2 linked regions of the Caenorhabditis elegans genome follow. The protein of the gene in region 2 purifies or fractionates together with the protein of the main gene of each other region. This does not show direct contact. Each region holds a gene or a part of one and is shown on either strand. Other genes may lie near its edges.

What was found.
Region 1: the proteins of hlh-12 (region 2) and vha-20 fractionate together in Caenorhabditis elegans (co-fractionation; one large-scale study listed by BioGRID). This does not show direct contact.

Annotation. Positions count from the first base shown.
Region 1 is NC_003284.9:14,162,418-14,166,528, forward strand, and holds vha-20 (Renin receptor-like C-terminal transmembrane spanning segment domain-containing protein), read right to left. Parts: upstream 2,090-4,111; 5' UTR 2,089-2,089; coding exon 1,914-2,088; intron 1,857-1,913; coding exon 1,493-1,856; intron 1,440-1,492; coding exon 1,100-1,439; intron 1,028-1,099; coding exon 932-1,027; 3' UTR 682-931; downstream 1-681. Other genes in the region: sym-4 (WD repeat-containing protein 44), read right to left, coding at 2,638-2,760, 2,938-3,354, 3,493-3,594, 3,747-4,111.
Region 2 is NC_003282.8:8,477,913-8,481,120, forward strand, and holds hlh-12 (Helix-loop-helix protein hlh-12), read right to left. Parts: upstream 1,535-3,208; coding exon 1,476-1,534; intron 1,240-1,475; coding exon 1,132-1,239; intron 1,014-1,131; coding exon 728-1,013; 3' UTR 683-727; downstream 1-682. Other genes in the region: spp-10 (Saposin B-type domain-containing protein), read left to right, coding at 1-32, 115-177, 407-496, 1,867-1,938, 2,067-2,244, 2,293-2,468, 2,523-2,606, 2,653-2,664. UniProt on the Caenorhabditis elegans protein: Transcription factor which binds the E box motif 5'-GCAGGTG-3'. Involved in migration of the gonadal leader cells; distal tip cells (DTCs) in hermaphrodites, and linker cells in males.

The sequences.
Region 1 (4,111 bases), on a different chromosome or scaffold from region 2:
GTTTGATATAAAATTAGTATACCTTTTTTATCATTTCGAACATATGTATCTTTGTGTATGTTCATCTGCATCTTACTTCAATTGATGCCCGAGAACCCTCTTCCCCCCCCCCCCCCCCCCTCTTTTTTGCCCTGTAGATATGTAGAAAGGTCCAGTTACTGCTGACTCTGCCTGAGGAGGAGAAATACAACAAGGATTGTCACACGGAAAACAAGAAGAACACATTACATAGATTACATTTAGAATGTGTTATTTTTACATAGTACATATCGTTGAAATTGGAAAATCAGCATATCAAACGCTGATCTCAAAAGATTGGAATGTTTAAACCGGTCAATAGATCAATAGTGAATATTCAAAGTTTGATGCAACTTTGGTTTTCTTTCCCACTTTCAAATTCAGATTGACAATTGGGTATACAAATATAATGGCCACACCGTTGTTTGTTTTTCCACTGAGAGAGTTTTGATCAATTAACCAGACTTTATGTTGTGCCAAATATTAAGTATGCTTGCGGAAACTCTAGCAATTTTGGTTTTTTTTTTTGGCAAATTATACTTTAGAGAGTCCAAATTGAAAAGTATGTATTTTGCATTCCTTAGACGGTTATCAAGTTTTTATGAAACCATCCCAATGTTACTTCTGAAGCTGTATAAATTTTTCACTGTAGAAGAATGTTCTGCGATAAGATACATTTATTAGTACTAATCTGTGAAGTAGATAAACCAACAGGATGGGAAAAAATAGTCAAATAAACAAAAAAGTCATCAAAATTTTAGAAAAGAATACAATCAATTACTGGAAAAATTGGAAAATGGAATGTCTCGAACGGTAATCAGAAATTAAGAATTTGAAAATAATATCGAAAATAGTATTTTCAACAGTGAAACATGGTGAGCATAGTGCTCATTTGATGAAGATGCTGTAGAATCTAGTCTTTCTTCATTCTTGTGGTGGTCATACGATAGATGATGGAATCCTTCTCTGGGTCGATTGAGGCCATTCCCACAACAATGTAGATGAGAGCCTGAAATTAATGGCATTTTTTGGAGTTAACATCAGTTATATGATGAACATTATTCTGTAATTTTCTACTTACCACAACAAGAATAACAACTAATCCAAGGAAGATAGCAAAGATTGCTGGATAATCAGAGGACACTGGAACAGTCACTTGGAGGTTTTCGCGAGCTAATTGGGTTGGCGTTTTTGATTTTGTGTCTCTCTTCTGAATGTTATGGTTTGGAATTTCGCGAGACTCGGTGCTTTTCTCGGCGGCTCCGGATTCAGCTTCGAATGCAAGAAGCTCGATGACAGCTTGTCCACCGTAAGCATTGTTGATGGATGCAGTGAGAGCCTCAATGGCGGCCTTAACGTCTGCGACAGCTTCTTCCTTTTGGGCAGATTCGGTGATTCCGACAAGTCCGGTGATGGAGACACTACAATAAAAAAATAATGTGAAACAAAGATTCCGGGATCTAACAGAACTTACCGGAAAACATCAGCATTGTTATCCATTTGTACTCCGGCGCTCTTGATGGCAGCGGCAAGTTGATAAACAGCCTCAAGTTCTTTGACAAGTGTGCTTCTCTTGGTCTTGATTACAGTAGCATCAACGGCTTCTTGTTGGGCGGCAAGAGCGAGCATTGATCCGGTAATTCCACCAGCCGAAACTTGCACATTTTCACGGTCGGCTCCAAAGATCAGCGCCATGTCTTGATCGAATCCAACATTCTCAACACCGTCGGATTTGGTTGAGTAGGTTTTTCCTCCCAAGTTCAGGTTGTCAGCTCCAATTACAGTTACGACGGCAAGGGCGCGTGGACGAGAGAACATGTCAACGGAGACCGAAAATCCTGAAAAACGATTCATCTTCTTTGCTTTATATGTAAAGTAACTATATCACTACTCACCATCAACTTGTCTTGCAGAAAGTCCCAGAATGTTCTCATTGAGAGTGGAAATCAGTGTGGTCTTCAAGGTTGCGTCAGCATCCGGGAACTTAAGGGAAGCCGGAGCTGCGATAATTTCCAGAGAAGATGCGGCACACGCGGCGACCAGAGCGGAGACGAGAAGAACAAACTTCATCCTGAAATTGATTGATTGAGAAAAACAATTAAAGGCATAACATGAAAATTGTTTTTAAAAAATATAATAAAATATATATCAGACTGTGATTTGACAACAGATAAAATAATTTAAAAATAGGGGAATAGTTTTAAAATGCAAATCGAAAAATTTATTACTCATAGAAAACATTTGGAACTGTATGGGTTACCAACTGCAGAAATTATCCCAGAAGAAAAGAAATTCATATCCCGTTTAGGACGAAAGGTTTACACATCACATAGGTTATTCCTAGAGAAAAGCAAAGCTGCGCGAGCAAAAAAACAAAAGACATCATCATAGAATTTGGAGACCAATAGGGCTAAAAAGAGTAGAGTGGGATGAAAATTCAAAGATTCAAAAATTCAAAAATTAACTATTGACATCGTGCGGTTTGATTAAAAAAAAACAAAAATCTAGTGGAATTTGCTAATAAAGCTCACTCGGGGTCGGTTTGACGCCGTTGGTAGTAAAACGGAGGAAAGTTATAAATTTTCAAAGAAAAATGATTAATATCTGTTATTAAGAAAACTAGGTAAGCAGAGTGGAGGATCGAGAACGTGAATTCTTTGGGTCCAGTGGATTTGCCTTGACCAGACGCGGACGGTTTATCATCACTTTGATCACTCCATTCAAATCAGCGCTGATAATTACCTGAAACAAAAATTGATTTTTTGATTACTAATAACTACTGCAAAGCGTAAAAAAATTATCTTTCTGGAAAGAATTCCTTCGGTGGTTTTCTGCACTCATGATTTATGTACCAAAACGCTTCTAGACCAATTTAAAAGTCAATAATTCATCAAAGGTCTCTTAACTACAAGCACTTACATGTCCTGGAATCGACAAATTGCCATTGGATGTTAGCGAATCCGATTGTCCCGGCAACACTTGCCCGCTGATATTAAAATCAATCGAGTCAGATTTGGAGTGCTTATCCCGCTTGTTAAGCATGTTGAAGAACACTTGAGGTCTTGGCGCGAACACGGCCACAGGCACAGGCGCGTTGTGTGTTCGCACCCGTTCCCACCACGAATTGCGATCCTTCCGGACTGATAAGGCGACGGTGGTGTCGCTGGCACGCCAAATGTAGACAAACTTGTCTTCTGAGCCGCAGATGATGTGCCGGCCGTCTGGTGAGAAGGCAGCACGGATCTGAGAGTGGTCGTTTTGCACCCCTTTGAACTTGCATGTGAGAGCCTTGTCTCGAATGTCATACATTCGAATTCGCGAATCATTGGATGTCACCTGAAAGTCATTTTAATTTTGCAACAAAATTCTTATCAAATTCTGTTATACATGCATAATCATTCAATTTTTGAATTTTCCACTTTGGGACTATTCTTGTTATAGTTCCCTATTGACCGATTCTTGAATTTAACTTACCAAAAGTTTGTCTCCATGAGAAGTCAATCCGGTGACTTTATGACCACGGGCATTTTTACCCCTTGTTGACCGTACATCCACAGCAGTGTGATATTTCAGTTGCTGAAAATTAATAAGGAATAAGTCATTTGCGCAGCGACAGCAATGCCAAAAATCGATAACCACCAGTCTGCGACCGATGATCACAAATTGGTTCTTATTTCTGCGTCCAAAGAATTTCAACTAAAAAAAAACACTATTTTTGCAAAACTCACATCAGAAGTATAAAAGATGCATTTTCCGTCATAGGTTCCTACAACCGCAAACTTTCCACTCTTCACAAATGTCATCGCAGTGATGTATTTCTTTTCAGTGTCATTCCAGACGGCAACTTTCTTATCGGGAATATGCCACATCCGCAATTTTCCATCCAATGATCCTGACAAAAAGTAACGATCGTCTTTTGGTAGAAAAGCAACACAGGTGACAAAGTCAATGTGCTGGAAGCAGCAAAGGCATTCATTGCGTGACAAATGCCACAATTTGACTGTCCTATCCATTCCAGATGATAGTATAAAGTAATTCTTGGACCAAGACACGTCGAGAATATCCGCAGTATGACCCTTCAATAGTGCAAATG
Region 2 (3,208 bases):
AGCTTGACGCCATTCTCCAAGATCCACACCAGGTTCGTTATCCATTCAATTATAAAAAACAGAAATTCCTTGGATTTGTCTAATTTGTAAAGTAGAAGATTTCAATATTTTCAGGTGTGCGTTGACATCAAGGCCTGCAACTCTGCTTCTGCTCAAGGACTCAAGGCTCGCAAATATGTGGGTATCCTCGGATATTTCCAACGTCACTTCCTATAAATATGTTTCCCATTAAGCTTTATTCTCCTTTTTTGCATAAACCTATTTTATTGTGAATTGTCTATTTTTCCCATGTTCCCTTCCATAAATCGCTTGTTTTGTCTATAAATCCCTTTGTTGTGACGTTTTGATTTCAGATTTTTAGGTTAAGTTCTTTAATTTATTCAATTGAATTGTTATATAAGTTCAGGTAGAAGCTTCCAATGAAGAAAAGGAAAAGGTTGAGAATGAGGTCGATGCATTCTGGAATGGAGCCGCAATGAAAAACAACAAGGGTCAGGTTAGTGAAATGATAGGGTACTGTATTTCTTGTTGTACCATAGATTGATTCTAAATTAGTATTTGAAACAACTATACAAAAACATGTTTACCTATTTTCGCGCATTTCAACTCAACTTTTTTATTCGCAGCTGTCAAGTATGCCACCTGCTATTCGAGGTATAATGGGTTTTTTTAAACTACTAATGAACAACCGTTCTACTTCATTCAACTCAAATACAAACTCAATAATTTAAAAATAAGCAATATAAACATTGGTTTGGGGCCAAACTGGAACTGAAGTGGGCTTCAAAATTGGGATAACGGGATTTGGAAGTTGAAGTGGGGGAAGTTCGTGGCGTGAGATGAAAGCAGCAACACCGCCACCCTGCTTCAACTTCATGGGACGACGAATTGCATCTTTATTTGACTTGCGTTCTCCGTTGAAGATGTGCGGAAATACAGTTATTGCGTCTATGTCACTATTTGAACTTTCAATAAGAAAGTTGTGAAGACGAATTATGTAAGAGGTGGCTTCTCTGAAATGCGAGGGTTATTTTTTTAATGAAAATCTTTGAATTAAGAAAACAAACAAGTAAACTTTCGTAGAGTTTTGAAAATTTTCTAAAAGAGATCTCATCTTATTGGGGAACTTACCTCAAGATTTGAACTCTGGAGAGTCGTGTTTTAAAATGTGACGGCGGAAGAAGATTAAGTAGAACATCAAACATTCCGTTCATCTCGGAAACTCTCTGTCGTTCTCGTCTGAAAGTTTACAATGTTTAATAAACCTTTGATGATGAAGCATGTGATTTCTGAGATATTGAAAAATGTGGGGCATTCTATCTAGAAACAGTTCTTCATGAAGCTTGAGTTCTGACCGGTATATTTTTTTCTAACTAATTTTCATATTATATTCAATTTTATTGCTAGGAGTCGTATTAACTACTAAAAAAATTCAAGAAAATGTTAATTTTATCGTAATTAATTTGAGAACGTACTCGTTTGCTCTCGATCTTCGATCCGTATTCAGCTTGGTAACTCTCGGTTTCTTCGCCATTTTAATAAAATTGTGTAAGATGACGCTATAAAAAATGACGAGTTGTGAGCCAAGTAGGAGTTGAGTAATGAAAAGAAAATGACAGATGTAACTGACCCTTTACCATCTAAAAAAGGAATCGTGTGCCGTCCCAACAGCCACCTGCTTCACACATGTTACCCTTCTACTGACATTGTCGAGACAAAGTCGGTAAATAATTGGAACATGATGATATTGCTCATAAGTTTATAGATGGAAAGAGATTTCGTTGTTATTTTGCAAGAAAAAGGGAATTTGATGTGGTTTCTTATTTTTCAAAATTTGAATAGAAGCAATACACTCCCATTTTTCAGACTCTCGCCATGTCCTGTTTCGAATGCAAGTTTGTTGTTGAAGACATGCAAACAGACATGATCACTAACAGAGTAAGTTTATTGCAAAAACAATTAAAATAGTTTCGTAACATAAAAACAACAATCCAACTGTGTATTTGTTTATTTCAATCACCTACACCAAAACAAATTTTTAAATGATTCACCTCTAGTGATTTCAGAAGAAACTTTCCGATGATGTCCGTGATTTCGCATGCTACAAGATTGTCACAGCCAACATGACTGATTCATGTATTGATTTCTTGGATTTATATCTCCCAACTGTTATTCAGATGACAGTTGAACAGGCAACTCCACAAGGAGTTTGTCTAGCTAACAAGTGTTGTCCAGCAAGTTCAGGTTTGCTGTAATAATGAGGTGTCCAATAATCGACCGACTATTTTTCAGTTGCCCCACTTCGTGATTTCACATTCCAAGAGATTCAAGCTGAAAAATGTCCGAAAATGATGGAATTGGAAACATATTTGAGCTCAAACCTTGTTGGAAGTGCCATGGAGAAATTCTTCGAAAACTCACTGACTGAGACTTTCTGCTCTGGATTATTATCATTCTTCCAACCAAGTGTAAGTTTTTATTAGTTTTTTTTAATGTTCTAAAGCTTAAATCTCAATTTTCAGTGTCAACAAATCATGTCATCTGTTGCTCCAAGATTTGTCAGTTTGACCGCAGTCCTTGCAAGCCAAAACAAATTCAGTCAGGCTGTGAGTTTGGGTATTCGAATGCTCGATTTTAATTAAAATATTCCAGATGAACTGCTAGACCTGAAAACATCAAACTTCTTCATTTCTCTGCTTGCTGATAACTGATAAACTGTTTAAAGAATAAATCATTTTCATGACAAATAGCTACAACATTGCTGAACTATCAGAAAAATTGAAAGTTGATCAATAACTTATGGACAATGAAAACATACCTTATTAGTGGCAAAAACAATCGATGTTTTACAAAACCTTCATTCGACACCGTTTAAAAGTAAAAAAACACACAGAACTTTCCAAAATTTATCAGCATTTCGAGCACATTGAAGTTTTTAATGGCAACTCTACCAACCTTTCTGAAACGTAAGACTTCTCAGTATCAGTGTGAGACTATTGAACAAGTAGAGGAAACGTGGTATGTCATTATGTGGATTTGAAGTTATTGCGCTTGTTATTTTGAAAAAGTTCACAATTATTTATCCACAAGTTGAAAATTGTAAAGCTTACGACATTACTGGCTTTCTTATAAAAAGTCTAAAAAGTTATAGTAGTTGAAAAATGAGATGAGATGTCGACTAGACCATTCGGCAGTTGCAGAAAAATTA